Lytechinus pictus: one gene and its partners. The main gene of each other region encodes a partner of the protein of the gene in region 3 in a complex. Links are inferred from orthologs where the notes say so. Each region holds a gene or a part of one and is shown on either strand. Other genes may lie near its edges.

Region 1 (7,487 bases), on a different chromosome or scaffold from region 3:
TTCATGAGCAGGTATTGATGTAATTTGGTCTCAAGGTGGCGCTCTTCATTTTTTATGTTAGTTTTAAAAATAAATAAAAAAAAGCTCACTCGGCAAATCTTCTCATCTTTATATATTTTTTTGAGAATAAAAACAGTTCTTTCTAGCCAATGCAATACATTGTATGGACTCAGAACTTGTTTATGAATATCGTGGAAAGCAAAGAGTGAAATTTAAAAGAAAGTTTTGAAATAAACCAATGACACAATTTACCTTTAAGTACAATATTTTTTTTTCTCACCTGTGATTCATGGTTCCATACATGTACGTTACCATTGTACAAACTGACAAGCATCCATGGCTCAGATGGATGAAGGTCAACGCACTTTACACGGTCAGACCGTGCTGAAAGCTTTCGCTGAAGGGGAAATATATACAGATATAATTATCATATACTGCTTTTATATACATGTCGTACTTATCACATTGTAACAAAGTCAGGAACGAACGAACAAACAGATTAGGAGTAGATAAAGGACTTTACGAAGTAGAAACAGAGATCTTTTTTGAGATATTGTTTCAAAACATGCAGTTATGTAATTGGTTTGCAGAGGGGTGTCAAAGACTTCATGTAATTTTCTTAAAGTTTACTGAAGTATGTGATCAATTTTCTTTGACTATGTCACACTCACATTTAACATGCATGGGGAAAAAAAAATTCCCCCAAAATAAGAAACCCAAATTGTACAAGAATAGCATTACTCATGATTGATAAGTCCAAATTTCATAAAATATTAATATTCTTTTAATTTAAAAAAATCCTCAAAAATCTTAAACCCTTGCTTGAAAAAATACATGATATTTTTATCACATAAAATATTCACATGTTTCACTAAAATTAGTAATTTATTACAGGTGCATAGTATACACTGATTTTGGCTTTCAATGATAAAGATATATTTTCAAAACATGCATTGTGTTACTGCAAAAAACAACAACAGAAAAAGGTGGAAATAGATTTCTTACCTTTATATCCAATCTAAGAGGCTGTCATGTGAATAAAAAAAAGGAATGAACATAATTATAAAATGTTTACAAATGCAAATTCCTGTAGGATACAGTGTACTAAAATGATAAGGCATGGGTCAAAATAAGAAGTTCTGATAAAAATTCTCATTTGAAAATAAGTGGTCTGTCTATCCCTGTTTGCAATCAAGAAAATGAATTTCTAATATCACAAAATGACCAAAGCCATTTGCACTTTGCAGCATCTAGTCAAAACTTAGAAATCTTTTGTGCAGCCTGGAACAATAACGAGCAAAAAACATTGCATCTCAAACATTATCTGAGGGTACACAAGATCAAGTGTAATTTAACACAGCAATCCATGGGTTAGAAAGCTTAGCGACTGATCATGGGGCTAATATCTAATTTTATGATTTATTCCATTGATTACTCGTAAAATCAGCCCCTTGATCAATCACTATCAAAGCTTTTTGTTACATACTGTACCGGGCCCTGAGCAGAGAAAGAGTCTTTTTGAAATTTTCATCAGAGATTAGTAAGAATAACACACAAGGTGGGAGTTCATAAAGCTGTTCGTAAGTTAAAGGTCAAGTCCACCCCACAAAAATGTTGATTTGAATAAATTGAGAAAAATCAAACTAGCATAATGCTGAAAATTTCATCAAAATCGGATGTCAAATAAGAAAGTTATGACATTTTAAAGTTTTGCTTACTTTTCACAAAACAGTGATATGCACAACTCAAATGGGACTGTCGATGATGTCCCTCACTCACTATTTCTTTTGTTTCTTATTGTTTGAATTATACAATATTTCATTATTTATAGATTTGACAATAAGGACCAACTTGACTAAATCATATAGTATTAAATAATGATAACTCCACATGTTCAGGGAGGAATTAATTGTTGTTTCACTTGACAATGAGAAGAAAGTTAGAATATTTCATACAATAAACTACAAAAGAAATAGTGAGTGGATGACGTCATCAGTCTCCTCATTTGCATACCGATCAGGATGTACATATGACTGTTTTGTGAAAATAAGCAAATTTTTAAAATGTCATAACTTTCTTATTTTACATCCGATTTTGATGAAATTTTCAGTGTTATGCTTGTTGTATTTTTTTCTCTTTTTATTCAAATCAACTTTTTGTTCAGGTGGAATAGTCCTCTAAGAGTGACTTTAAGAACGACTGGTGAAACTTTCTTACACTCTAAATAATCACCAATGAACATTTAATGGTCAATATCATTTACCACAAGAAAGGATCACCAGTCGTTCTTAAAGTCGCTCTTGACTGATGATCAGCTTTATGAAACGGCCCCCTGGGGGGCGTTTCACAAAGATTTAAGTATGACTTGAGTCGCACTTAAATGCCGACACGTACATGATATGCGATCTTATTGATAATAAATACGCAGTAGTGCGCGTCCTCATGACACGATATGGCCAATGCGGTCAAGTCTTTCATACCGTACGCAACTTGGTATTTAAGTGCGACTCTAAGTCATACTTAAAACTTTGTGAAACACCCCCCTGCTTGATAAAAATTTCAAAACCATCACAGAGCTTTATATAACTCGGGATCATGTTACTTGACAACAATGAAAGTAACCACTCTTGAAAGAAATAAGGATCTAAGTCTATGATATCTATCTCACACTAATCATCTGCAGTTCAAAGGACAGAACTAAACTGTTTTGTTACTTTGTCACAAGATTACTCAAAAAGTAAGAGTGAAATTAAATAGAGTAACACGCCCAAAATTCGACAAGTGCCGAGATTCGACATGGCAAACCTATTTCACAAGCCAGCACAGTCACAAAAACACACACCAAACACATTTTTATAAACATAGGCACTATCACTTGCCACCAAAAAGTCCTGATTTTAACAAAAAAAAATCCCCTTTAAAATGTCAAAAATTTCCCTTGAAATGCGGAATATTCACCATATATCCAGAGCATTTGGCGGCTTAGCTCAGATTTAAGAAGCGGGGTCGCCGAAAAATGTGTCAAAAATAAAGAAATCCTTGGTTCTGCTCCGAGTACGATAACTTTCTCGCAAATTTAGGATCGTATCTTCAAAATTTCCAATCAAAAAAGAAAAAGAAAGAAAAATTCAACGGCATTGAATTTGCACAGAATTCTTTGAAGTCAAGGCATGCTTGCAGGTCGCCTTCATTCGACAGGGGCCCCGATCGCAATGCGTGAGCGAATGACCGCTGCAACTTCTGGGTTGCACATCGCATGCGATGCGGCGCAATTCAGCGGCTCTCGCCTTGCATTTTTGAGCGCGCGATGCGCTATGTCGTACGAAGGGCAGGGGATGTCGAATCGAAACATGGCGATACATTTCAAGATTTTATGTATTATTCAGATGGAAATTGAAAATGAACATTGCAAATTTGCAATTAAAGATAGACAAATATATTTAACAAACATTGGTGCAAATATCATTTTGTGAAAAGAAATTTTAGAACAAAAAAAATTGCAGAAGAGCTTAACATGTCGAATCTTGGGCATAAAAGAAAATTGTGAATTCATGAAAATTGCCAACGGGCAACGTTACCAATTGCCAATGTTGAAACTGAACACCTTTTTGGCTTTCGTTAGGTCTAACTCTAACTTTACAATAAATAGTTACACTACTCTACAGTATGCAGTGTACTACAGGCTGCGTTTTTTTGTAAAATAATATTTATTCTGTTCTTGCTCAAGCCAACAATAATTCTTGCCCGGCACACTTTGCAAGAATTACTTAGGAGTTAGGGCATATCAAATTTCAATGAAACTTCATGAACTTTGCCTTAGTTTGGCACTAAATGACAAATGATTTTCTAGATCTAAAATTAATTCTAATCATTCCAAGTAATTTCTATTTCTAATAATGCAGTTTAAACTTTAATTTCACACCGGCCAAAACTTTCATAGAATATTAACAAATTTCATGTTTAATCTTCAGTCCAATTATAATGTCAATGACCTCTTCTTCTGCCTCAGCTCAGGCCTTCACAAATGATTGAAATGCACAAGCGGCTACCTGGCCCTACAATGTAGCTACGGCTACGTGCGTCTGCTTCAATGGGTACAGTGCCCGTCGTCTCCCCCAGCGGAACGGCCCATGCCATGGTAAGGATGAGGCTAGAAAAACTCCATAAGCATCGGCCATCTCCGCCGCGACGAAAAAAAAGACAAATCAACATCTTTTTACTCAATTATACTCCGTGTCCACACCCTCCATTCGTGAATAGTTTTACAAACACACAATTATCCACTTAAATAATGGAAAATTATTAAATAAAAGATAACAACTTACCATGGTATTTTCGATTTAAATTTATCAAACGTGGCACTTACACACAAGTTCCAACATCATCAATGGGAAACCGAAGCTCCGTGAACTTTGTCCGATCATTAACTTCCGGGAACGGTTTCTCAAACTCGTCCTAAATCTAGCTTCTGATATTATCGATAGAAACTCGCGTATGCAACCAACATAAGGTTGCGAACTTACACTTACAAATCTTTTGTGAAACAAATCCCTGCTCCTGTCGAAAAGTGTGAGCGTCCATGGTTTCACGATCCAGATTTGGATTCAAGCAGCTGAATAAAAGGGTCTAAATCCACTTGCAAACGCCCTAGGTAAGTATTTTAGATTTTTTTTTAGATTTGAGCCTTAATACAGTCATCACAGAAACATATCACTCGGGATAGAGACAGGGCCCCAGACTCAGAGGCTCAGCTTCCCAGCTTAGCCAGGGCAGGGTCAAGACGATTCGGAACGGGGAAGCTCCGCTGCTGTCACCGGCCAAACCGGCGGTGCGTGGACGAGCCTCTGGGTGATGGTCCTCTTATTATAAAGTCTTATTTGAATTTAACCCAGGGAGCTCCGGCCCGCACAGCGGGCCGGAGCCCAGGGGCTTACTGTGTATTTGACCATACTCACGGGACTAGCGTGATTTATGGTCTGAATAATAATATTTCTCCAAATGAATTGTGAAAACAGAAATTATGCACTTACCACGATTAATTTATATGGATGAAAGTCTAACGAGTGGCAGTTTCCTGACATCGAGGCACAGACTGGAACTTAAAAAAAACGAAAAGTTCTCTCCTTCTACCCCCGTCTCGATCGGCCATTTTTGTTATGAATCGTAACAAAATGGCCGATCGAGACTGGGGTAGAAGGAGAGAACTTTTCGTTTTTTTTGAAGTTCCAGTCTGTGCCGCGATGTCAGGAAACTGCCACTCGTTAGACCTTCATCCATATAATCGTGGTAAGTGCATAATTTCTGTTTTCACAATTCATTTGGAGAAATATTTAGACCATAAATCACGCTAGTCCCGTGAGTATGGTCAAATACACGGTAAGCCCCTGGGCTCCCGCCCGCACAGCGGGCGGGACTTCCCTGGGTTAATTTGAATTTGGCCCTGGCTGGCATTGCCAAGGCCAGGGCGTTTTGCAATTTCTTACTTTTAGCCATGGCTTGGCCTTGGCAAAACTATTTAATGTAATTTTTTACAATTTAATTTGATTTTGAGCCAAATTTCACCAGGCACAGCTTAAAATCACGTATTTGATTTGAGCTGAAAAAAGGCAAAAAAATTGAACGTTTGGAAATTTTTTCATGACATTGTGACGTCGTCTTGGTACTTGGTAGGATTCTTATTCCATAATTATTTATATTCCTTTTAATTTTGCTGTGTAACTGGTGTAGACGTGTAGTTCTCTGGTATCTGAAGATATTGTTTTTCTTGCTGTTGATTCTATCTTTGAAAATACTATTAGGGCTAAGTTAGATCTTTTACTTTCTAATTCTAACATTAGGATAATTTTATTGGGAGTTGATGGAAATAAATGAATAGATAATGAAATTAAATCTTTTACTTTAAGCTAAAGTTGTCTTTTTGGATTTTCTTTCTGCAGGCTCTCATTGTCATTTTCATACCATGCAAAGAATAAAATCAGCTCAGAATTTACTCTAGCAGTGAATATTCGTATATAAAGTATATAAAAACATTTTTGATGTTTTAAAATGTAATGTATGATTTCTTCTTTTATGTTCTTAATGATCCAGTAGAATTGGTGGATAGTCCTAAATCCTAATGGCTTTAACAAATCTGATCCCAGCCCGTTTCCTGTGCCTAATTGCTCATCTGGTTATCACTGTCACTCTCATATGGTCACGGGTAGGTAACAAAAATTCTTTTCCAGTTGAAACGAGATTAAGAACAACTGAGTAATTGTTCGCTTATTAATTGTTAACATTTTGTTGTTACTGATTACAGTGTTATTGGTAAAATGTAGCAGAAGTAAAGAACTAGAAGTGGTGTGGTGGTTGTGGTGGAGGAGGACTACAACGACTTTAACTTTGTGAAAGTACATGACGATATTGCAAAAATGAATTGATAGATTTCCCATATTGGATTGAAATTTTTAAGGAAATGTACAGGAAATAGAGTTTGAAATATACACATCACCTCATTGGTCAGGTTATACATGTGCATTACTTTGTTCATTTATGTGGAAAAAATGACTTAATCATACTTACATATACCTCTTTGTGAAAACCCCTCTGAAGAGTTTCCTATTATTTAAAGCAAGACAATCCATTTTCGTAAAAAAAACTTTGCTAAAAATGTCACAAGATATGAATGTTATCAATATTAAACAATTATATTATTTTCCTTTTTCAATTTTTTTTGTAGGATGCTAATGTACGAGCCTGCCTACCTGAAACCTACACAGATACAGAGTACAATTCAGTAGATGTGGCGTGAGTATTTTCATTTCCCTGTGTATATCTTATTAGTTGATCTTATTTTGCAGCCTCCCCCCCCCCTCCCCCGACACAGTCTTTTATCCTCTGATAATGCTCGTCTTGGTAAATAAAACAGATGAATGAATTATGAATATATTATGGCAGGTGATGAAAACAGCTTCATTTATTTCAGATTGGTAGTCATCAGATGAAAATAGATATTTTTATGTTGATACATTAAGCAGAGATGAAATTTCTATGTTGTGAACATAAATGAGCAGTTCCTTTTACTTATTGTGAGTAGAAAGAGTGAGTAAGTGTCTGTCACATCCTTCTACTCCTTTTCTCTCCCCTCCCCTCTCCTTCCTCATCCTTCTCTTCCTCTTCTTCCTCCTCCTCCTCTTCCTCCTCCTCCCCTGTTCATATTCTTCCTCCTCTTCTTCTTCCTCCTCCTCCCCCTGTTCCTATTCTTCATTCTCCCTCCTCCTCCTCCCCCTGTTCCTATTCTTCCTCCTCTTCTTCCTCCCCCTGTTCCTATTCTTCATCCTCTTCTTTCTCCTCCTCCTCTTCTTCCTCCTCCACCTCCTCCTCCTCCTCCCCCCTGTTCTTATTCTTCATCCTCTTCTTTCTCCTCCTCCTCCCCCTGTTCCTCCTCTTCCTCCTCCTCCTCCCCTTCCTCCTTTCCTGTTCATATTCTTCCTCCTCCTCCCCTTCCT
Region 2 (7,756 bases), on a different chromosome or scaffold from region 3:
AACACCTATGCTTATCTATTTTATCTTTACAATAGAAAATAGTTAATTATTATCTTCTTTTTTTGTCGAAGGCAAGCAAAGAAAACTTACTATTTTTGTGATGACTTATGCATTTAACTTTTTTTATGAAAATGGGGAAATGATGCATAAAAGAGAGGAATGAAGGGAAGGAAAAGTACAACGGTGGGGTGGGTCGTGTCACTTATAATTCAATTGAGAAAAATATAATGTTATGTACCTTTTGCTCGTCAAGCAAATATTTCAAGGTATCAAAATACGCCTCTAAATGTAACCATCTCCCGAAATGTGATATAGATTACTGTAATACTATATAGAGACCACATCAAGAGAGGGAAAATTGCACAATGATATTTTGAGGGTTAGAAATGTTATTTTATAACCAATTCAAGGTATAAAGAAAAATTATGCTTGTGCATCATAGTTTCAGAAATGGCATTCTCCCAAATCACAAAAAAAAAATCGGAAACCACATAATATGACCTTTTTTGTTTATCTTTATACGACTTATTTGGAAATATAAACAAATAACCATCTGTAGATCTGCATATAAATTATATGCTATACTTTTTTTTTATTCCTCTTTGATTTTATTGACGCTTCGGGATTCAAATATGAAAATGCAGCGAGACCCGCTAATGAGGAAAATTTTTTGTTGTTGAATGAATACACCACAGGGCCGTGGAATGGTTTTGAAAGCGGGAAGGGGGATATGCTTTCGATGCAAAAAAAAATCACAATCGATCAGATGGTCATTTTAAGGTTTTGTACATGGTTTTGGGAAGGGGGGGGGGGGCTGAAGCTCACCCAGCCCCCCCCCCCCCCCACCGGTTCCGCGGCACTTGCACCAACTGAATATTATTTGTGGATTATTTTGTGATCCTTATTAGATTGCTTTACCATATCAGGATATGCAGTGGCGGTGCTTAGGTGTTTTTCATCTTCCACACCCCCACACACACGCACAATTTTTTCAGTTAACGTGTACACAAATGCAAAAAATACCATTATTAAACGGTTTACATTTGTGAACTTCTCCCTCTAAACTTTATGCGTACAGCCTCCCCCTTCTAAACTGTTCCTCATTATATTTTTATACGAGAGAGCAACCTGAGCGACGGTAGCATTCCTTTATCACAAAAAAACAGTGATCAGTAAAAACGTACATATCAAGGGTTTCTGCCCAAAATGGCTTGATTTTGGCACTATTTCGAGTAGAAAACATTCATTGTTCTCCCTTCAAATGAAGAAAGGGATAAAAAAAATATATGATTTTATTCAGTTGCCATCAAGCATATAGGGCCTATATATTAGAGCCCCAAAAACTGAAACTTTCATTTATGCTGTAGTATTTTTGTTTTATTGTACATAGCAAGGGAAACTTGCCAATTTGGAATATTCATGACGATGTGCATATAAATGTTTTTCACAACATATTGATAAATTTTTAAATTCAATAACTTTGTTATTTTGTTATCCGATTTTGATCAAATTTTGTGCATTTTACTTTTTGAATTTTACTTTTTTTATTCAGATATAAATATTTTCAGCCCGGACCATCCCTTTAATTTTTCTTTATTCAGTTCAGTAGCGTAAGGAACAAAGAAATATATTTGAAAAATAGAGGGGCAAAAAGAGTGGATGGGGCCAATATTTGAAAAAAAGATCTCGCAAGTTAGCAAAACGAACGATCTTTCTAGGAAAAACTATGATGTTGTATTAATTTTGACGATATATTAAAAAAATATTATCATAATTCGGTCATTTCCATTTCCTGTTCTTTTTTTATACTAATTTTCTTGGTGATAGAACTTAATGGGGCGCCACGGGCCCTAACCCCCCCCCCCCCCCCCCCCCCCCCCCCATCTGTACGTTCCAGTAATTTATTTCCAATCTCCAAGAGTTTCATTCTTACTTGCCAAAAATTGATCGACCCTGAACTAATTTTCAAAGTTAAACTCCTGCGGGCATGTTATATATATTTCATTTCATTTATTTCCATATCCAACAACAAAAAATCAAGTAACATAGTAGGCCTATTAATCGACCAGTTCGTAGTTACCTCATGGACAATTTTCGGTCAAATGACCTTTCATTTCTTTCATGATGATAGGCAGATTTCAAAGCAAAATATTACGTAAGCTTGCCTTACATAGCAGGATGAAGAAATTGAATAGACCAGGTGACTAGAATAGCACACCAATGAACACTTTATGAAGGTATTTGTACGGTTGCATTCCTACTTTGAATGCATATCATAGCATGTTGCACAATGTACTTGGCAAACTATGAAAACCCCCGGTGAAAACCAGTCGTTCGTGGACGCGTTGTTGTTTTTTGTGGATGTAAATGAAAACCACAATTCAAAAGAATATATGAATAATCAAGACATCAAAGTTGGTGCTTATCTCATTAGATTTTAAACCACCATGTCACTTTAGTACAAATAACCTTCCTCTGATCATGCGTAGAATCTTTTGATCATGCGCAGAAAGGATTAACTACGAACTGGCTTAAGTAAAACAGTGTAAAACATTGAAATTAATATTATGTATATAGGCCTACATAGGCAGGAGTTGGTAACTGGGCTCGTAGATCATTTAGATGCACCGGGAGATTGCAGTCCCTTTAAAATTGTATTTGTCTTCGTGCATAATAGTAGAATGATTATCATGATTATCATGACCAGGGGCCCGTTGCAGAAAGAGTTGCGTTTAAACGCAAGTCAAAAAATCAATCGCAAGTCCCAAATGCGCGCTGTTGATTGGTTGAAAATCAAGTTACGCATGATTTTTAGAGTTGCGATCGATTGCAACTCTTTCTGCAACGGGCCCCAGTATACTCTTGTAATAAAGTAAGTTATTCTGCTTTACCACTGGCAAAGGTGTGTAGGCCTATAGGCCTGAGTACACATGGGGGTTATAGTTCCATGACCCCCTCCCCCATACAAAAATAAGATAGAGAAAGGGAAAGAAAATGAGACCCAATACATGAAGTTTCGGATTTATATATTTTTTTCATATTATTTCGTCAAAATCTGTCACAAAATTATATCTTTTAATAAAAAAAAGAAGCCATACTTTATAGCTCACATTCAAAACAAATAGTTTGCCACGCAGGGTATACGATACTGCCTCTGAAAATTGTTGGTTTATTAAACATAAAGTGGGACTTGTTTATTTGGTGCCCGATCGACCCTATACTTTATTTCAAAACAGGCCTAAATGAGCCCCCACGGCAATTACACATTATGGTATGATTCAGAGGCGTCGATCCTGGGGGGCAGGGGGGCGATCGCCCCACCAATAAAAATATTTGGGGGGCAAACATATCGTTTTGCCCCCCAATAATTCCGCATGTGCAAAACATAAAATAAGATTGTAATGTTACACAGATATCAGCAAGCAAGATTGAGATACACAACTATTTCTTTATTTAAAAATCATGCTCAAATTGTCCGCTTTTCCGATTGGAATATAAAAAAATTTCAGCTCGCGCTTTGCGCTCGCATCATTTCTGTAGCAAAAACCCATACTTTTCATTATTAAATAGATGAATAGAACGTCCCGTTTTTAGTTCTAAACCTCAAAATAACTCCCGCTTCGATTTGCAATAATCTTTTTTTGGATATATGTCTTGTTCTTTATTTAAAACGTCCATTAAAGTAAAAAAAATTCAGATCAAAATATCAAAATTTTCAGCTCGCGCTTCGCGCTCGCATCTATTGTTTTTTAAGATACCCATCATAATCATTGGTACCAAGCAAGAAATTTCTACTCGCGCTTCGCGCTCGCATTAATTTGTTGGTGAGAAATGTGTCTCTATCTCAGTCATGAGTCATTATATATATACACACACACACACACACATATATATATACATAATATTTGTGTGTGAGTGTGTATACACACTCACACACACACACATACATATATATATATATATATATATATATAGGCATGTGTGTGTGTGAGTTTTTTTGTTTTGTGTGATCGAGCGCCTTTGGAAAGTTGATTCATGATTTTGCCCCCCCCCCCAATCTGAAAAAGGGATCGACGCCCCTGGTATGATTAACTGCCGTCGAAGACCCCATGCATACCTTACTGATTTTCATGATGCCCCGCATTGCGCACAACAACAAAAAACGAGAAAAAAAAAAGAATTGAGCTCATTCAAAGAATGGAGGCGCCGAATTTTCAAATACACCAGTAATATACAGTTGGCCGAATCAGGGGTGGATCCAGGATTTTCCAAAGGGGGGGGGGCACATTTTCCAGAGGAAAAAAATTGACAAGCAAAAAAAAAAGGTATTTAACCAAAAATTAAGGACAAAGTTACATTTTGCCCACGAAAAAGTTTGAAAAGCATAAAAAAAAAAAAAAAAAAAATTCACTTTAAAAACTTATGTTTTAACGGCATTTCTACATTAAAAAAATTAATTTTGCCTCTCAAGCCCCCCCCCCCCCTACGGGCCGCTAGTGGGAGTAATTGTAATTTTTCAAAAAGAAGAAAATAAAATCGTAAAGATACACATGCACAAATTAAGAATTGATATTTTTTTATTTTTTATTATCATTATAAGTTTGCAGCCAAGGAATCAATAGGTCAATATTCTTCCGGCTGGTGGTGTGTTTTATTATTTTATTATTATCATTATTATTATTATTTGTTGTTGAGGGGCGTAAATGAACCCCCCGGCCCCGCCCCCAACGCTGATATTATTATTCATAACCACAGACAAGATGGCGGGGTTGCCAGCAGACGCCAAAATAGTTTTGATTCTCTTCTGCGCTGCGGTACAGATTTTTCCTTCAACTGCTCAGACAACACCCACAGGTATTCAACAAAGCACAAACAACCCAGTATCAACAGCAACCACCCAAAATGCCCAAACAACACAGACTCAGCAACAAACAACGACTAATCCGCCGACTTTGCCTTCAACAGAGGTGCCCGCGAATACAGGTAAAGAGTACGTAGATGATATGCGTGGTCCCATATATTGACATTTGTGTGTTTCAGTTAACCAAAGTGCGCATGAAGCCATGTAGACAATTCTTTAGTGTTAAAAAAGGGGGAAGTTCACCCTGACGAAAGTAAAAATAAGCAGAATTTTAAGTCTAATAATAATTTAAAAAATATTGGTGAAGTCAAGTGAAGGTTTGAGAAAAAAAGATTAAGAAAGTTTACAATAATACAAGTCCAAGACAAGTACAAGTTGACAACTTCATTTTTTTTATTTTTGATGTAAAAAAAACAAGCAGCTGCCCCATAACTTATCACATAAAATGCAGAAAATTTCATTTTTTTAATGGTTCATGATGACTTATGATGGGGTGACCGTATTTAGTGCACATATTGGTTTTCTTGACAATTCCAAGACACCTAGATTAGATTATATACCCTTAAAAAACGTCCAATACCTCAAAAGAACAAGAATATCTTATCTCACATTTCATGGCTTGGAATTCAAACTTCAGATTAAAATCAATGTAATTTCAAGAAATTTGTAACGCCTACCGACTTCATAGTCTGCTCTGCTCACATGTGTGACCTAAGTTTGTTGCCCTTTTGTGGTCGACAACAAGTGTCAAAACGCTCGATAACCACCTCGTATTGTCCAGCACATACCAGCCATTTGAGTAAAGTTCGAAATAGGCAATACTATTATTTTTTATTGATATTTTTCCAGGTTGAGAATAGGCTTGTGCAATATCATGGATAATAATCCTCTGTATACACATCAATGACCGTCTTATCAATAGATTGCTCGTTGCTGAAAATTTTAGGATTGGGAGGAGGTAGGCGCCGGGCAAGGGCCAAATGATTGATTTTAAAATTCAAAGACATTTTTCTCAAAATCATGCCAAAAATTTACTTCTCATTTCCATCATATTCAATTTCACCATGCAAATCATTTTGTTATTATTTTTTTTTACTTGCTTTTAAGATTATATATTTAGGCCTTCATTATAAGTAAAAGCTATTTTTTCACAAAAGGCGTGCCCCCACAATCATCACCACTGTCACTACATTTATCATCCCATTTTCATCATCATTACCACAATTTCCATTGTATAATATGACTACAGGATCTATTCATTATATCATTATCAACATTTCTCACAAAAAATTCACATCATTGTCAACTTCTTTCGGGGCAAAATCATTAGACCCCCCGCCACCCATTCTTATTGTTTTGTTTATTGGGGAATGAAATTTATTAAGGGAGAATGAACATGTTCTCTTATCAGCACACTTAATTCATGGCCACATGAACACAGCAAAGGAGAATGAAGAAAAGACACTAAGTTATCATTTGTATATTCAACTGAATTTCTTGTTTTCATTTTCTTTTTTCATTTTCCATTTACAAATCTCCTTTTTTTTTTCAGAAATAAAAATTGTTTACATATTCATATATTCACATATTTTACATATTAACATATATATATATATATTTACATATTTATATATTCATATATTTACATATTTGCATATTCACATAATTACTTATTCATATATTTATATTCATACATATCAACATATATTTCATTGTTCCGTCTCACAAGGGAACCTGAAAAAAAAAAAAATGTGTTGCCAATTTGAACTTGTCCGGCCCAACCAGTGTTTGCAGGAGTCACATTCTGCCCAGTTAATGACAGTGCCCATGTCAGAGGCTGATGGTGGATCGTCCAAATGGCACTGGCAACAACGTTCGTCATCATCTGATCTATCCTCAGAAATGCGAGTCTGGGTCGTCTGCTCGATGGTGGAAGAACGGTAGATCTGCAGGAAGATTCTGTTTCCATGATGGCTACCCCTCTGACTATTCTTTGAAGGTGGAGAAGGCTTCTTGGTCACTAACGATGCCTCCATAGAGCTTGTTGATGGGGGATGAACCGGATGAGGGGTGTTGGCATTGGTGATTGCACTTGGTCTCATCGTCCTCTCGATCTCTACTGCTTCGGGGTCAAATGGGCAGATTCCAGACTTCCTAAATGCTGCCTTGAGGTTGTCCTCTCTCATCGCCTGTAGGTATGCGTGACTGATTAGGCTTGTCATGTCAAATCTAGAGATTGACCTTCCAGGATGCTTGGAGAGGAAATCTGTGCACTGACTGTTGAATTGTGCCTTCATCGGATCGAAGCAGCCGACGTCGAGAGGCTGGAGAATGTGACTTGTGTGAGGGGGAAGAAGGAAGAGTATCACGTTGTGCTTCTGGGCTTCTATGAGGGGAACAGTTATGTGGCTTTTGTGTCCATCATACAGTAGGAGAACTTGTTGCTCAGCTTCCCGGTCTGGCAAGGATCGGATTAAATGCTTGCTCAGGAACCGACTGAAGACATCACCATTACTCCACCCACTGTCCGTCATCTTGAACCTGCTGCCTGGTAATGATTCCCAAGTCAGCTCTGCCATCAAGTTCTTCCCTTTAAATACAATATAGGGTGGCAATGACGATCTGTCAGCTGATCCTCAGGCAAGGAGTGTTATGGTTGCTGAGCGACAGGAAACGATTGAAGGCGACCTCAATGGTGAATGCTCCTGGTTGAATCCTGTTTCATCAACTTTGTATATGAACCTAGGTTTGTCCTTTAGGTCATACTTTATCAGGATCTTGTCCAGTTCTTGGTAGTATCAGGCAATCCTCTCCGGTGTTGTGGATATTGCCGTAGTGATAGCCAACAACCTTGGGCGGATGACTTGGAGAGCTGGCCATCTCCTCATGAACCCG
Region 3 (7,768 bases):
TGGTCTAGTGGTTAAGGCACCGGCGTTCAAAGCTGGGGGCCCGGGTTCGATTCCCGGCAGAGACATTTTTTCGGCATCACCAATTTTTCCAAAAAGGGTAGATAGCTCTGGGGAACCTTGATTTAAGCTACGCCTACCATTGTTCTCTTCATCCATTTCTTTCACACTATATATATATATATCAGGGTTGGCGCGTTTTAAACGGTGTGTTTTAAAACATGTTTTAAAACGCGTTTTAAAACACCAGTTTTTTTTACAAAAAAAAACCTGTTTTAAAACACCGCATAGACTTGTGTGTTATAAATTTGCATGGATGTGTTTTTAGATGAATGTTTTTTTTTTTATACTGTTATTTCTTAAGTGGTGTATTATTTTCTTCTAACTAAATAAAACTCTTTTTCAATGCCACTCCTTTTCTCTTCTTTCTCTTTCTCCCTTTATTCTTTCTTTCTCCATTGCTTTGTTATGTTCCTCTTCTCCCTGTTCAATTGTGCACATCAATCCATATTAAGAATATTCTCATTTTAACAAACATATCTGAGTGTTGTGCTCACTTTTTGGACAGGGAAGGAAACATGAGCTCAAATACATGTACATGTAATAAAAGTACTTGAATGAAATGGAAGTGTTGCACAAGCACAATAATATTTTACAAATAGACTGTAAACCTGACATCATACTCTTGAGGTACACACAAAAGCAGGTATAAAACTTTGTGCTTCATAAAGATGAAGAAAAGTACTTTCTTTAAACAGTATAAGATAATCAGCTAGCAAACCTTAACCCTAACAATTCAAGGGGACCTTTATAATGTCCCCCTAAAAATGTATATGATAAATCCATAAACATGACAGGGCCACGGCATATCGTTCAAGACTATTTTGGGGATGCATGCTTGGGTATGCAGTTATGATATACACCACAAGTGCATAATCAGATCCCGAATTGCTCAAAAATGTGATTTCATGTATAAACCCAATGTGAGTTCTTGCCAAAATTGTGAGTTCTTGCCAAAATTTGTATCTGTATCATTATTTTTACTTTATTGTTAATGATTGGAAAATTATTGCCAAAAATTTCTATAAGTAATAAAAAAAAGGTTTAAAAATCTGTACATAAGAAATATAAAAAAGTTTTAGAAAACATTACCGGTAACCTAAATAGACTGGGCTATTTCGTTTCCTAAGAAGACTGAGGGTGCCCCCCCCCCACCCTTATGATCTGAGCCGTCGATCACGGGATCACAACAAAAATTGGCACGGCGTTACCCATGGCATAATCTAAAAAACTATAAATCAAATTTTGCATAAGTCTCATTGCTAATTTATGCGTAAAATCAAGTTTGCTCTATAAATAATGCCCCTGAAATGCTCATTTTTGGTTCATTCTTTGTAGGAATCTGATCAAATGTTCTTTAAAAAATTTCAAAATCACATTTATTTTTTATGTATTTTATTGTTTTTTCAATGGAAATAGTCAGGGACTATATTTTGACCATAAACAAGGTGAAATTAATTGATTTTAGTCAGTAAAGGAAAAATAATGAGACATTTATGAATTTTGGTTAAAAACACTATTTGCATTGGATTTGTACACGAATTCACGTTTTTGAGCAATTTTGGGTCTGCATGCACTTACAGAATGTTGCATAATTTCGGAACCGCATAGGTCGCAATTTTGGTCTCAAAAGTTGCGTGAGACTTGAAAAAGAAAAGTCTGAGTGACGAAGGGGGCTGAATCAGACTGGAGGGGTGCTGAATCAGCCCCCCTCCAATCTTATTAGGGCTAAAAAAAACATTCTATACTGATTTTTTTTTAATATACATTTGATCAGCATTCCTGAATTAAAAAAAAAAAAGTAGTTCAAGGTTTTTATTTATAGATTTGAACTGAATTTGAATTTCATGCACTAAAATTGGTATAATTGATTCAAATGAAATAAAGCATATTGATTTACCGGTAATGAAATTAAGCTTTGAAACCCCATGTATATCAATTTCTTCCATTGTGCAAATTCTTCTTGCCCCCCCCCCCCCCCCATTGACAAGACTCAATATACCTTGGAACTACATGTATATGTACATGTATTAGGAATGAAATGTCAATTTACTTATAAAGTGTTTTTTGTTGTTGTAGGCATTCAATTTCCATGATTTAGTGATTTGGGGGGAAATATGAACTTTTCTGTTGGAAATTCATTAACAAAATTGTGGTCATCTCTTATTTAAAACATACTGTAATAGTGTATAGTTTAATTGATTTACAGAAAATTGCATCATTCGTTGGAAATAAAATGTTTTAAAACAATAAAAAACGTTTTATTTGTTTTTTTTGATAAAAAATGTTTTTTATTACAACCCTGATATATATATATATATATAGGTCTCCTCATCATGGTTATAAAAAGTGCTCAGAATGTTTTATTTTCAAGTCCTTGTATCAGAATTTTCAGCTCGGGCAGCTCTATCGCATTTTGATTACTATCCTGTTGATTTATTTACTTGAACAAAATATTTAAAATGTCCAGCTTTTAGAACAGATATCAAAAAAAGGTATTCACCTTTGATCATAGATGAGGAAGAAGAAAAAAGTGCAAAAAAATAGGAAACAAACTAACGAATTAATGTGACATAATTTTTCTTCATTTCAAGGCGACTCTTTACATTTCATCATCGCTGATGGCGCTACAATAGAAAATACCGCTTGACAGCAAAAAAAAAACAGAAAGAGGAAAATAATGCCGAGCGTCTAAAATGCAGCTAGCAGTACAAGCTGCAGAACCGTAAACAAACATCTTGTGAATAATATCGCGCGCCCTCTTTAAGCAAAAGTTTACAACCACGATGACCCTGCGGTATCTACGTGAAGATCACGAGAAAATGCTTTTTTTTTCTTAAAAACACACCAAAGAGAAGTCAAGAAACGATCCATATGGTTCGGTAAGTGTCATAGCACAATTAGAAACATTATTTTAAAAGGAATGGCATAGTTATTTTAGTAAAAAGGGTGTGAAAAATTCGCGTGCACCATGTGCATATGAATCCTTCGCACGCGAGATGCATTGATCCCATGAGTGGGACCCGCATAGCTTTAGGGCCCCCTACCATAAAGACAACTCCGAGTCCGAACTAGAAAAAAAAGACTAACTTAGATCTAACTTAGAATTCTAGATCTAACTTAAACTAACGTTAGAGGCTGTTCATAATCATAAGAGGGTAAAGCCAATGCTTCTTCTTTGTTTGGTTTGGCTGGCTGGCAACCAGTCAAGAATGACTATTTTTGCCACTGCTTTTTTGACTTATTTGAGCTTTTTTGTTGAAAGAACTTCAGATTCTTTTCCTTTTCCTTTTTTTGATGGTTTCTTAAGTAACTTTAACTTACTTAGATCTACTGTCATCTTCTTTTCATTGTTTATTCTACTGGACCTATTTATTTTTGTTTTGTCTGTTTTTAAGCTTTCTTTCTTTTTTCCTTTTTTTTTTCTTTTCCTTTTTTTTGGCTTTTCCTTTTTTTTTTCTTTTTTGATGATCATTGCCTCTATACTTTTGGAGAATTTTGAAGGGGGATCCTATCGTCAATTTCCTTTATCATGCTTGTCAAGCAGAATGTTGCAGAGGTTTAAAGAAAAGACTTCCTTATGACCCCTCCACTAATTTAAAAAGACAGTCCCTGATGTGCGCCCGCTTAAGGGTTTTTCCCATCCTGTACCTATTTTGCACAAACTAGTTTAATCCATACATATCATATAAAAAGGACTGATGGTACTTATTTTTTTTATCGTGAAAATTGGCCGATAGCAATCGCGGTGGTCAAGATTGACCACCACTTCTGACTGCGATAGCATTCTTCTGTGTGCGGCCACCCTGTCTCCGGTGCGCGGTCCGATGTACGATTCCTATGGCGCTCCCGCAAGCTCCGTGAGGCACCGTGAGGCAGCTGCAATTCACCTTTAAACTGCGAGCGAACGCTGCTGAGTGTGCAGTTCCATTGCAAACGCATGTGAAAATAGCGAGCGTACACGCAACGGCCTCTCTTGGGGCGCTATATTTTGAGGTGTTGTTGTCGTATTTTTCATGTTTTTTACTATTTTTCGATCTCAGCATTGACTTCTGGAAAAAAATGGCGGCCGACATCGGCTCGCGAAAGTGCTAGTCTTTACCGTGGACATGTTTTCAAAATCCACGATCATCGGGAAAACCGTGAAAAATCCACTTTTTTAGACCCTTTGTTTCTTAATTACGATGTTAAGAAATACCGATGGTGATATTTTTGATGCGAGATATGGTGATTTAGGGAAGAAAATTTCACTTTTTATTCAAGATTTTGAATGTGAATGTGTACTGTACATGTTTAGAGTGTGTTGGTGATTTCAGTTGAATCTCCACTACCGTATGTCGCCTTACTCACTGAGCTAGTATGAATTGTTGAAAGCCATGGGTTATCAACCGATATTACGACTAGTCTTCTCTCCAAGAGTATTGGGTATTTATTTTTCTGACTAAATAGACTAAACCAATGCCATTTTGAATTACACACACTCGAAATTTTGACAGAATAAAGCCATATTTTGGTATGTATCCAACTTTTCCTTCTTAAATCTCTTAGATACATGTTAGATAATTCCTGATAAACCTTTTTAGTGGAGGGGACATATGGAAGTCTTGCCGGTTTAAATGCTACATTTGTAATTTGCTTTGTTCACAGGAAAGGTCAAGAAAAAGGGACGCAAACTGCCACATGATGGCAACAGCCAAGATGAGGACAGAGCGCTGTGTAAGTATCAGACTTGCACTTCAAATCAAGCAGGGACCATTGTCATTGTCATCCTGGATATCGCAATATACAGGACAATGAGTACAGTACATAACTCATTTGAGACACTTAGACCCCTCATTTGAGACACTGTACTTGTAGAGAAGAAGAGAAGATGACTCCTTTCTCACTATCATCATCTTCCTTATCTTCCTCCTCCCCTCCTCATCATTACAATCATCATGATCATAATTATGATCATCACCATAATCATAATCATCACCATAATTGTAATCATCACCATCATCATGTTCATAAGAATTGTCTTCACCATCATCATCATCATCATCATCATCAACACCATAATCATAATCTTCATAATCATCATCACCATAATCATCACCATAATCATAATCATCACTATAATCATCATCACCATGATTTGATTATAATCATTATAGTTATCATAATCATTATCCTCATCTTCTTCACAATCATTGTAATAATTGTAACCAATCACCATTTTTGTTTAAATGTTCTGCCAAGTGCAAACAGTACAATTTCCAATTAGGAGGTGTTAAAAACTTAAAGGGGAATGAAACCTTTGGAACAAGTAGGCTTGTGTCGAAACAGAAAAATCAAAGAATAAGAACAACAAAAGTTTGAGAAAAATCAGACAAATAATGAGAAAGTTATGAGCATTTGAATATTGCAATCACTAATGCTATGGAGATCCTCGATTGGCAATGCGACAAGGATGTGTGATGTCACATGTGAACAACTTTCCCTTTGATGGACTATAAAATACCCCAAAATGTCTCTTTTTGCTTTTTCTTATGATGATAGAAACTCTTTATCCATGAAGTATTCTTTAAAAAATCTGTATTACATGCCCTCCTATAGAAAGAACATATGATCCACTGATAGATGTGATAAAAGAGGCAGTTTAAGTGAAATATATACTAAAGTAATGGGGAGAGTTGTTCACAAGTGACATCACACATCTTTGTTGGATCTCCATAGCATTAGTGATCGCAATATTCAAATGCTCATAACTTTCTCATTATTTGTCTGATTTTTCTCAAACTTTTGTTGATCCGTTTCTTTGATTTTTCTGTTTTAACACAAGCTATCTTGTTCCAAAGGTTTCATTCTCCTTTAAGGATGATTAAATCTAGGATTCAGCGAGATGTATAATGTACATGTGTTGTTATTTATGTTCTTGATGTTCCCACATTTCTTCTTTGTCGCCATACTGTATAATTATTAGGGTCTTATATCTACCTAGTTGTTATGCCTGTTCCACATGGCTCTTATGATTGGACAGACTAAAAAAGTAATTAGATAGCAGTTGATTCAAAATGTTCAATCAATTTTTGATTGATTGCTCAAGCCGACATACATGTATAATGATACAGAACAGCAGTTTCATTTGCAGTAGGTTCTGTTCAGGTTCTAAAAATGTAGCAATATGTTATGATACCTGGACTAATTTTTCACGTTTGTTTGTTTAAGCTCCTCACTCAGAACATCATGAAATTCATAACCAGACACGGGCTAAATTTGATGAGCTTCTGAAGTCAGCAATGGACCAGGATGCTAGGTATTTCTATTTTATTATCAAAATAAAATACAGATGATAATGTGGCTATTTCTCAGTGTTTCTTTTGAAGCTAAACCTCTCTTATTATAAAAATTGAAATAATATTTATTACACTCTGCAGGTTAACAGAATATATTATTGAATTGCGCATTATAATTTTTACTGTGATATATTGATTACATTATTGTTATCAATGAAAATGATAATATCATTTTTATTATCATTATTATGATTGTCATTATCATTGCTATTATTTTATTACGGTACTCTATTTAGTTGAGCTGCCAATGATATAAATTGATACTGCAATTTTCTAATTGAAAACAATTTTGAATATTGAAAGTTAAGAAACATTCTTGTATGTTTTTTTGCTCATATCAAACAGATAGCTCTGTCAAGTTCTTAATCCTTATTGTCTTACTTTATGTCTAGAATACATTAGTATGTATGGTATTTATGCCATTGACAGAACTCTGGCTTATATACATTTCTGAGTTCAAAATTTCAACTTCTCAAAAGTAGTTTGTGTTAAATTCAATTCTTATTTAGTTATAGTTACATTAGACAATCAAATAGTGTTGAGATTATAAGTACATCATAAATAAACTTTTTATGAGAATATTATCCTATTTTTTAATTTCCTTAGTGGTTCTGGAAAAACTTCAAAGAAGAAGAAGAAGGCTAGATCACAAACAGCAGATGCTATGGTAAGTTCATATTTGAAATATTTGTATTGTTACCTTTGGCAGGATTAACATTGCACTTGGTAATTTTTTTTTATATGCATTCATGTCATGATATATAATACATAACAAAAAATTAACTTTTTATATTCAATTAAAAAAAAAATATCACACTTCATTTGTTGAAAATCAGAAATACAAATATTACAAATTTTACATCCACAACTGATTTTCAATAAGCTTCAGATTATACATTTTAGAAAGTTGTTTTTCTGATAGATTTTAGAGTACCAGTAACTGATATGGAGGATCATGTTGTAGTGGTTCTGACTCTTGTTTTAACATCAGAGAAGTGTGTGTTCGAATTTCACTGCGGCTTTATACTGATCTTTGGCAAGGCATCAATCCACACTCTCTTCCCAGGTGCTAAGTGGTTACCTAGTAAGAGGGGATATCCAATGTAGAATACCTAGCAATTGAGTTTAAAACTCTTGTTAGAATGCTAATTAGTGAGTGGAAAAAGTACATACATGTACATCATGTTAGGGTTAGTCAGTATCAAATGACAGGGATGATAATAATATATCATTATTATCAATAAAGTTTGTAGATACACTATTCTGATAAAAGTGTTATTATTATTAGTGTTGTTGTTATTATCATTATTATTTAGATTTAGGATTATTATGCTATATATTTTCCAGATAATATATAGATAATCCATGGCTGC

What was found.
Region 1: jouberin-like (region 3) and transmembrane protein 107-like share a complex: the UniProt entries of both Homo sapiens proteins name them as parts of the tectonic-like complex. The link is inferred for Lytechinus pictus from reciprocal best matches to the Homo sapiens genes AHI1 and TMEM107.
Region 2: jouberin-like (region 3) and tectonic-1-like share a complex: the UniProt entries of both Homo sapiens proteins name them as parts of the tectonic-like complex. The link is inferred for Lytechinus pictus from reciprocal best matches to the Homo sapiens genes AHI1 and TCTN1.

Annotation. Positions count from the first base shown.
Region 1 is NC_087258.1:18,218,741-18,226,227, forward strand, and holds the start of transmembrane protein 107-like, read left to right. Parts: upstream 1-4,463; 5' UTR 4,464-4,651; exon of another isoform or gene 4,652-4,799; intron 4,800-6,087; exon of another isoform or gene 6,088-6,090; 5' UTR 6,091-6,115; coding exon 6,116-6,199; intron 6,200-6,718; coding exon 6,719-6,786; intron 6,787-7,487. UniProt on the Homo sapiens protein: Plays a role in cilia formation and embryonic patterning. Requires for normal Sonic hedgehog (Shh) signaling in the neural tube and acts in combination with GLI2 and GLI3 to pattern ventral and intermediate neuronal cell types.
Region 2 is NC_087250.1:19,610,205-19,617,960, reverse strand, and holds the start of tectonic-1-like, read left to right. Parts: upstream 1-4,732; 5' UTR 4,733-4,760; coding exon 4,761-4,983; intron 4,984-5,100; exon of another isoform or gene 5,101-5,105; intron 5,106-6,662; exon of another isoform or gene 6,663-7,451; intron 7,452-7,529; exon of another isoform or gene 7,530-7,756. UniProt on the Homo sapiens protein: Component of the tectonic-like complex, a complex localized at the transition zone of primary cilia and acting as a barrier that prevents diffusion of transmembrane proteins between the cilia and plasma membranes.
Region 3 is NW_026974140.1:16,630,787-16,638,554, forward strand, and holds the start of jouberin-like, read left to right. Parts: upstream 1-4,706; 5' UTR 4,707-4,773; intron 4,774-6,267; 5' UTR 6,268-6,338; coding exon 6,339-6,355; intron 6,356-7,001; coding exon 7,002-7,062; intron 7,063-7,768. UniProt on the Homo sapiens protein: Involved in vesicle trafficking and required for ciliogenesis, formation of primary non-motile cilium, and recruitment of RAB8A to the basal body of primary cilium.